Bombyx mori: one gene and its partners. The protein of the gene in region 1 interacts with the protein of each later gene in a biochemical or structural test. Links are inferred from orthologs where the notes say so. Each region holds a gene or a part of one and is shown on either strand. Other genes may lie near its edges.

Evidence for each region.
Region 2: the proteins of cullin-3-A (region 1) and kelch-like protein diablo form a complex in vitro, tested with the Homo sapiens proteins (2 studies listed by BioGRID and IntAct). The link is inferred for Bombyx mori from reciprocal best matches to the Homo sapiens genes CUL3 and KLHL20.
Region 3: the proteins of cullin-3-A (region 1) and ubiquitin-conjugating enzyme E2M form a complex in vitro, tested with the Homo sapiens proteins (2 studies listed by BioGRID, with this or other methods). The link is inferred for Bombyx mori from reciprocal best matches to the Homo sapiens genes CUL3 and UBE2M.

Annotation. Positions count from the first base shown.
Region 1 is NC_085110.1:9,634,273-9,637,937, reverse strand, and holds part of cullin-3-A, read right to left. Parts: intron 3,151-3,665; coding exon 2,956-3,150; intron 2,481-2,955; coding exon 2,304-2,480; intron 2,224-2,303; coding exon 2,053-2,223; intron 826-2,052; coding exon 718-825; intron 170-717; coding exon 45-169; intron 1-44. UniProt on the Homo sapiens protein: Core component of multiple cullin-RING-based BCR (BTB-CUL3-RBX1) E3 ubiquitin-protein ligase complexes which mediate the ubiquitination and subsequent proteasomal degradation of target proteins.
Region 2 is NC_085110.1:681,892-685,556, forward strand, and holds part of kelch-like protein diablo, read left to right. Parts: intron 1-664; coding exon 665-833; intron 834-1,334; coding exon 1,335-1,514; intron 1,515-3,347; coding exon 3,348-3,665. UniProt on the Homo sapiens protein: Substrate-specific adapter of a BCR (BTB-CUL3-RBX1) E3 ubiquitin-protein ligase complex involved in interferon response and anterograde Golgi to endosome transport.
Region 3 is NC_085121.1:6,067,318-6,069,496, forward strand, and holds the end of ubiquitin-conjugating enzyme E2M, read right to left. Parts: intron 2,044-2,179; coding exon 1,876-2,043; intron 991-1,875; coding exon 850-990; 3' UTR 501-849; downstream 1-500.

The DNA of each region.
Region 1 (3,665 bases):
AAAATTTGGTTTCCTATTGAGTTGAGAGGAATGCCTGTACTGACCTTCTGAAGACTTCGAACGCGTTCCTGGGCGCGGCCGGTATGTTGCACTTCGGCGTCGCGCTCTGCGTCGGCCAGAAGCCGGTCGTGAGCACTCGGACGGACAGATCCACTCCGTACAAGTTCAGCTGTGAATGCGCACTGTTCTTTACATGCATAAGTGTTTAACGACGAAAATGTCTTATTTTTATATAGTACTAGCCGTACTCGCCCGCTTCGCTGGGCATTTAAAATTAACATTATTATTTATTGTCATTATTATTAGGGAGTCCAACACTGGTTACCGTCGCCCATGGACTTCAGCAATGCCAGGGGCAGAGCCAAGGCGCTGCCTACCGCTTAATACTCTCCACAAGCCTCGTTTGAAGAAGGACATGTCATAGCGCTCGGGAAATACCGTGGAGGGGAGCTCATTCCATAGCCGGATGGTACGTGGCAAAAAAGACCTCTGGAAACGCACTGTGGATGACCGCAGTGGCTCCAGGTAGTATGGATGAACTCTACTCCGGTGGCGGGCGGTGCGATGGTAAAAACGAGATGCCGGTATCATCTCGAACAATTCCTCAGAGCACTCCCTATGGAACATACGGTACAAAATACAGAGGGAACCGAAGTCCCTCCGCAGACCCAGAGGTTCCAAACGATTCGAACAGATTATGTAGGTAAATAAACTTACCCCACTAGAGAGCACGTGTTCCTTAAATTCATCCATGATGGTGTTAGAGACGGTCATATCCTTGAACATACCCTCTAATTTTGATGTGAACTGACAACCACACTCAGTCTAAAACGAAACAAAGAAAGGGTTTATTAAATACGACAAGCATATGAGTCGACGATTTCGTTTGATGCTCCCAACGTGCGGGCGTCACACGACACCACAATATGAATGGAGGAAGAACGGTCCCTTGTCCTAGTGTGTTAATTAGGAATTTACGATTGCTTTACGGCAGAAGCAGACAGGCTGGTGATGTTGTTCCGGGCGGGATTACAGCACATCGACTTCCCAACGTCGACGAAAGAAAAGTATTAAGGTTATTTAGAAAAATTAGGTGAACACCTAAGGATACAGTTTAAGATATACAAATTAAAAATACAACACAATTGTGTGATAGATAAATATTAGCTGTCTTTTTTTATAAACTCGTCGGACCATAGTTGTCTGTTTTCTGTATACTAATTAAATAGTTTTTATCTTTTGCTCGACAATAAACATCTACTTTATGAATATCTTTGAAAAAAAGTAGGAACTTATTATTACTCATTAGGATTTATTTCTATTAACTATTCTACCTTTTTTTTACAATCACCTGCTTAAAGTCTGTTTACATTTACATCTGCAAAATTCTTTACATTTTCCTTTTAAATATTTTAAAGCAAATCACAATTAGAAGTCCCACAGAAGACTTTAAGCAAGTTCTACGTTTAAAACTTACTTGAAATACATTGAAAAAATACTTGGACTCACAAACGAATATATCCATATGGTAAAGAATTTTGCAAATTTAAACAGGCACAATAGAACGGGTCGTGTTATTGTGATGTGTTAACGGTCACTGTTCTAGTTTTCAATTTGCGAAAAGTCACCGATAATGCAGTGATAGTCGCGGAGTTCCACATCCCTCAATAACCCTTCGTTCTGGTTAAATGATAATGATATTCATTGTATGGAGTAACTTCAAAATTAATTAGTTATGTTTGATTAAAAAACTAACACCATATATAGGTACAAAATGTAGTATAGTGTGTCTAGTAGTTTAATTCTAAATAATCAGGCAGCACAAATTTTCGTAGCAAATATGAGTGCATTTGTATGATATTTAGGCTCTAATTTTCTCGAGAAATTATCAAACTTGAACGCATGATTGAATCGCGGTAAAATAGGAAGGGCAGTGATACCAACCGATGCACACTTTCAATACACTCTGTTCCATTTCGTATGTTACAAAATACTTATTTATTATCAAAGTTCTAAGATGATATAAAATATCGTACATTATAGAATACTGACCTTAAGTTTGGAGATCATGTTCTTTTCACTGTCATCAGAGACAGACTTATTGAGTAAGAGCCGTTTCGCTAGATGCTGTTTATAATAACGTTCGAAAACGTCCTTCTCTTGTAAAAATCGGAATAGTACCATTGTTTTATCCAGCACAGCTTCGATTTCCTGTTCGCTCATCTGTAATAGAGAACGCATGTTGTAGAATTGCGGAACTAGATTCGTGAACAGAATTTGTGAAATGTTATTTTAATACTTACCCCCTTTTCGCCTTTCTTTAATTTTCCATCAATGAACAATGACAAGAATTCCGGTGACTTATTATTCAAGTTAAGGAAGTATTCGAAGTCTGACGTGATCATGTGCTTGAATATTTTATCGTTGTTGAATGAATTTTGTAGGAAATGGTCAAATCGGTCCTTTAGATCAAGAAGGTTCTGGAAGAATTGAAATAACCTCTAGTTAATCAGTCTATTACATATAATTGAATAAACAGAACTTTTTCATGTGTGCATAACAACAGCTACAGATTGAGTATACTTAAACATATTATGGCAGTTTTCGCAGTTAAAGAGGGGTATTAAATAATTTGTTTCGGGTATTTATTTTTGAAATACGATTTTAAAACTATATCGACGCTTGAAAGGCAAACGTGAGTAAGCGACAATTCGTGAACTTTACAGTAGACTAATTTAAAGTTGAAACACCTGAAAACAAAATTTATTTTAACAAATCTAGCTAGTAGCTGTAGGATTGAAATGATTTTAATAGACCTAGAAATATATATATATTTTGCGCATCGAATATGGTTATTGCCTATCATTTATGTATAAAGCAGTTATTGTCGTTTAGTCACGTTCGCCTTTCAAGCGTCGATATATATCCTGTTTTGTCGTGTCCGTACGTACGCACCTGAACGTATGCGATGGCGTTGGTGTTGTGCAGCGTGTCGGTGACGAGCGCGCGGCCCTGCTCGCGGAGGTGCGCGGACACGGCGTCGGCCACCGTGCGCAGCCCCTCCCCGACGCGCGACAGCAGCTTGTACACGCAGCCCAGCTCCGACGTGCGCGTGTGCGTCAACATGTGCACCACGCCAGAGTTCTCCATCTGAACACAAAGAACCGAATCCTTACTGTCTTCACTATTGCGTAATGAATATCGATAACTGTAAAGGCTTCGTCAAACAGAACGCGTAATTAGCACGCGTCAGAGCGCTAAACCGACGGCGCGCTATGACGCCGAGATGTGTTGTACTACTATGGTAACATACCGTCAAACAGAGCCCCAGCGCTATAAGTACGCAACGCTCTGTCGCGGCGTTAGGACGCTTTGACGTCAGGCGTAATTTTTTACAAATTTTATTTTAGCGTCCGAGTGAATGTGTATAAAAATACTAGATAATGCCCGAAAAATTGAGAGAAATAGTTAGAAAATGCCCATGCTTATACAATGCCACATTTGAATCACTCGACATCTTAATACTTTTAAATTTTCACATTGCTATCGAAAGGCACTATGATTTGGCGAATGCGTTGCCTCAAGGAGCGTTGGACCCATCTAGTCAATTTGTGTGAAAGGAAAAGAGCGCGATGTTAAAACGCGGCGCTAAGTACGCGTTCTGT
Region 2 (3,665 bases), about 9.0 Mb from region 1:
ATTTCGATCCGGCAGTAGATTCATTCGCGTAGCAGCTACTCTTGAGGTGTTAGATCTTCCTTGGAGGTTCTCGGGTATCTGTTAGCCAATCCCACTCCTCCTGGTTGAGACCTTGCTGGCCCAACTGTCTTGGTGAAACTGCAAAGGTCACCAGTAATCCCTCTAACATAAAAAAGCGCACTTTTATCGTTTCCTAGATGTCTGTTAGTTCGTACCTCGTCTACTGCTAATCGCCTCTTATAGCGAATCTGGTTGTTTTTGTAGTGCCCCGTAGGTGGCTACTAAATTAAGAAATGAATGTTGCTACTTCTTCTTCTATATCGTTCCCTCACTACTGAGGATCGCGACCACATGCGATGTACTTCCAATGCACCCGATCATGGGTGGCATGGACTGCATGGTACAGACTACCACCGAGTGCTTCTCTTGCTAGATCTGACCATCTGGCTGGTGTTCTGCCCACGGCGCGCTTGCCTTCTATTCGACCCGTAATTTTGAGCTTCTCTAATTCATGTCTGTGAGACCGCATGATGTGTCCGAAGAAGCTCATAACATAATGTTGCTACAGAACCTATTTAATTTGACAATATCTGATAAAAGATATCAGAAATTGCGAGAAGCCATATAATCGATTCTCATATCCTTGAAAAATGCCTGGGAACAGAGTAATCCTATCAGCATGCAGCCCGTACTTCCGAGCGATGTTCACTGGGGAACTGGCCGAGTCTCGCGCCACCGAAGTCACGATCCGGGACGTGGACGAGCAGGCCATGGAGCAGCTCGTGGAGTTCTGCTACACCGCGCACATCGTCGTCGAGGAGAGTAACGTGCAGGTACTACACGATGTGCCTATAGTAGGTAGCAGCATGTAGCAGACGAGGTGGTGTCTTGTTTGTTGTTTATATTTTATTGCTTTATTGCTTAGCTTTGTGGAAGAGCTCACAGCCCACCTGGTGTTAAGTGGTCACTGGAGCCCATAGACATCTAGAACGTAAATGCGCCACCCACCTTGAGATATAAGTTCAAAAGTCTCAAGTATAGTTACAACCTTCAAACCGAAACGCACTACTGTTTCACGGCAGAAATAGGCAGGGTGGTGGTACCTACCCGCGCAGGCTCACAATAGGACCATCAGTAAAAAAGTTTGTATAAAAGTTTAGACTATTACCAAGTTCAATCCTTGGGTTTTTCAGGAGCACCTTTTGTGTGTTGCTTTCACTGTGCGTCGACCTTTAGCGGCATACTGATGTCGGTAATGAAAGGGCGGGCTTGTCAATTGTAAGCCATACAGATTGGCATTGAATTTGGAAAGTAATACGGTCTTCATCGCTCAGGCCCTGCTCCCGGCTGCGTGCCTGCTGCAGCTGCAAGAGATCCAGGACGTGTGCTGCGAGTTCCTCAAGCGTCAGCTGGACTGCTCCAACTGCCTCGGCATCAGAGCCTTCGCCGACACCCACTCGTGTCGGGAACTGCTCCGGATCGCCGATAAATTCACACAACAGAACTTCCCAGAGGTGCGCTCTATTGTCTTTAAGCAGATGTATCTCTCTAACATGTTCTTCATTTGCACCTGTTCCCTCGGGAGTTCCTCAGGGCTCTCATCTCGGTCCTATGTTATTTAATATATATATGTCAATGACGTTTCAAATGTTTTCAATAAATCCAAATTCATTATGTACGCCGATGACAAAAAAGTATATAAAGTTATAAAGTCCTTAAATGACTGTTTGGAATTACAAGATGATTTGAACAACTTATTTGTTTACTGTCAAAATAACTTACTCACAGTGAATACTAACAAGTGTACTATTATAACATTCTCACGTGGAAGATCGAATATCTTGTATGACTATTCTATTAATGGTCAAACTTTGGTACGCACCACAGTTGTTCGTGATTTGGGTATTTATTTGGATTCCAGTCTGATTTTTGATGTTCATGTTAATGAAATAGTAAATAAGGCTATTCGAATGTTAGGCTTCATACTTAGAGTTGGTAAAGAATTTAAAAGACCATCTACTTTGATTCTGTTGTACAACAGTTTTGTACGGTCTATATTGGAATATGGCTCCGTCACATGGAATCCCCAATATAATATTTATATTCAGCGACTAGAAAGAGTCCAAAAAAAGTTTTTTAAGCATCTTTTATACCATTGTCGGCGCTCTCCAGAACCGACAGAATTTGTATCTCTAGTCGATCGTAGGCTACTGAGGGATCAAATGTTTTTATATAAAATAATAAATAACGAGATTGATTCTAGCTATCTTCTTTCCAAAATTTCATTTAAATGTAGTCGTATTTCCGCGCGTTCTAAACAGACCTTTCACATGTCCACGGCTCGAACGAAATATGCATCTAACTCTTTTGTCCGTAGATCTTGTAGGTTGTATGATGCTAAGTTCTCTAATGCTGACATCTTTTGCTTGTCACTTGTAGCATATAGAAAAGCTATTTTAAAACAGTTATAAGGTGATTTAGGCTCGATAAGTAGTATAGTTGATGTATAAAATAATATGTGCGTATTGTGTTGCTTTTGTTTGTTTGTTTTTTTGTAATTTAAATTTCTAAATTTCTCTTCTTGTTCACTCTCTACTTATATGTGATTTTGATTGTGGAAACATATTTGGTTATTGTTTTAGCTATATTTTTTTAAATATTATATGTTTGTATTGTACTGTTTGTTTCCCAAATAAATAAATAAATAAATAAACATTGGATGACAGCTGCTCTTCCAGCAAAGTGCTCCGGGACTCCAGTCTATAGAAATTCATTTCCTATCAAACTTTCAAGTGATGACAATCAATACTACCTTAATATTAAACATAAATTATATAAATGTTTGTTGTCCATCTAAAAGGTCAATTGGTTAGTGACACTGACTATAGTATATTTCCATGCGATTTGCATTCAATACACGATTGTACTCAATGCTTCTGTGAAAGATGGGTTGTATTCTCGATGTACTTTTTTGTTCTATAAGTTTCCAGCAAACATAACACAGAGGGAGTATAGTTTGACATAGGAGCTTGAGGGCCCTTCAATGTAGAACACTAATTTATTAAATTATGATAGCTTTGTAATTGTAATTAAAAAGAAGCGAATCACTGACAGGGTTCAATGCCACTGTTGTTAATATGTCGAATGCATCTGTTTGATAAAAAGCTATAGTATGTGCCATCCATACAACAGTATGGTGATTTTGGAATAGTTCTCCGTCAGGAACAGAACTACTATTATATCAATTATAAAATATATAAATACTTCTGATATCTAATAGTATAGTTACTGCACTAGCTAGTTACAAACAACAGAAAGATGCAATTGCACTGGATTTTTGTCTGCAGGTGATGGAGAGTGAAGAGTTCTTACTGCTGCCCGCCTCGCAGCTGATCGACATCGTGTCCTCGGACGAGCTGAACGTTCGCTCGGAGGAGCAGACTTTCCAGGCCGTCATGTCCTGGGTCAAGTACAACGTGGCCGAGCGGCGGCAGCACCTGGCGCAGGTGCTCCAGCACGTCCGACTGCCGCTGCTGAGTCCCAAGTTCCTGGTGGGCACCGTCTCCTCGGAGCTGCTGATCCGCTCCGACGACGCCTGCCGCGACCTGCTGGACGAGGCCAAGAACTACCTGCTGCTGCCGCAGGAGCGTCCGCTCATGCAGGGA
Region 3 (2,179 bases), on another chromosome or scaffold:
AAAGTTTTTTCCTACCCGCTGCTATCAGACGGTAATTCCATTTAAAAAAAAAGGAATAAATATTTCAGTGCAAAATTTTAAGCTTTTGTTTGATTTTACGAACGCTATTTGTAGACTTAAAAATTCGGGTAGGTAGCCGCATTCTCAAATGTATTTTTACTAGCATAGATGCCAGATCAGACGTCATCGGTGCCACCTACTAGGATTGGTTTTAAAACATTCGTTTGTGTCACTAAATCAATTCAATCATATCAATTAAATCCTTCCTTCTCTTTTTATCGAATTCTTCACTATTTAGTAAGTATTTAGTGGTTTGTTAGATACTTACAGCATACTACATGCATTTACTCATGTATTGTGTATGCTATCTCATCCACCAACTAGCAGAGTAATAGTTTGGTATATAACTAGAAAAGTACATTTATAGTTACTAGTTACCCATCCGATAAGGATTAGTCAACATCACAAATATACTTAGGTATTCAAATGAAAGAATTGTTGAATGCAGTTCTTTATTTACAATGACCTAAGCGCCACTAGCGACATTTTTTTAAGTTTAACTATGAAGACATAACTGTGTTTGAATTTGATATCAACTCGAAAAATATAGGATCGATCGATACGACTCGTATATTTTGTTATGAAATTATTATAAGAGAAATTCAAGTGAATTAAACGATTTCTCAATATAATAATTGTACTTTAGATATCTTGTTGGGCATGGCATTAGAGATGGCTTTTTTTAAAAACAATATTAAATAAATAAAAACGAAACAATAGAAAAACATTAAAATGAGATTTTATTATTATTTATATGGTTGTTAGCATTTTTTACACGTGTGCAGGTTTTCATTTGAGGCATCGTTCGAAATAAGATGTGCCGACGTAGCCGCCTCGCATAGCTCTCTGAACGTGTTGTTCGAAAAGTCGCCTGTTGCTTTGGAGCTCGTCAGCTGCTTCCTTGTTGAGGGGATCTTCAGGGTTTGGTTCCTAAAAAAAAAAAAAAACAATTCCAATACATGTTTTTTACTGGTGGTAGGACCTCTTGTGAGTCTGCGCGGGGGTGGGTACCACCGCCCTGCCTATTTCGGCCGTGAAGCAGTAATGCGTTTCGGTTTGAAGGGTGGGGCAGCCGTTGAACTATTACTTGAGACCTTAGAACGTATATCTCGAGGTGGGTGGCGCGAGTATAGATAAGCTTTGCTGACAGTTCGTGCGAAGATAAAATGAAAATGATGAAATTTTCTCAATTCGTCAAAGAACTCTCTCCACAGAGAGTTATAGGATACAATTATACAAGACTATACAAGTACACGTAAACTGGATAAAAATAAAATACAATACCGTGAATGAAAGAGAGAGTATGCGTTATTGTACACCAAAATAGATAAAAATGCAATACGTGTGATGACGGACGAATAGCGACTTTCCCATCTAATCTCATTATATTTATCTTTACGAGTACTGCTAATATACGAATATTTTTATAGTTATGATTTTTATCGGCAGCCCTAAGTTTGATAAAAGAGCATTTTGTACAGTAAATTTCTTCAGATTCCGAAACATTCTTGAGATTAATACATTTTTCTAAATTTAATATTACTTCAAACATAAACTTTTTCATCAAACCATAACCAGCAGTTATTTCGTTGGTTTTCGTGAGTCCTACACATAATTAAAAATACTTTAAAGACTCACAGTTGTCGGTGAATACGAAAATTGAAGTATTTGAAAGGTTGAAATAAAAAAAAAAACGAAAATAATCATAATTACACCAAAACTTGTCAATTTCTGGAAAAGAAAAACCAAAAAAAGAAAACTGTTTGATGAGAAGTTCTTAATTGCTATGTCTTTATATCAATTTAGTGGGCTTACCAAGAATAAATACTGGAGACCGTACACTATGGAGTTAACTGTGAGAACAGGTTTCCAATCTTCCCTGAGTATATTCAGGCACACGTTGCCTTCGAGGTCTATGTTAGGATGATAAACTGCTGTTTCACATTTGACTTTGGGCGGCTCGTGAGGATAATTTGGTCCTACCTGAAAATTGGTTAAAAATATTTGTTAGAAAGATACAAGTTACTTACTATCTACTAAAGTGTTTTAGCATTTCTAGAATACTTCAGCTTACGGCCGATATGGTATTATCTACGTAATATTTATCGGAGATAACATA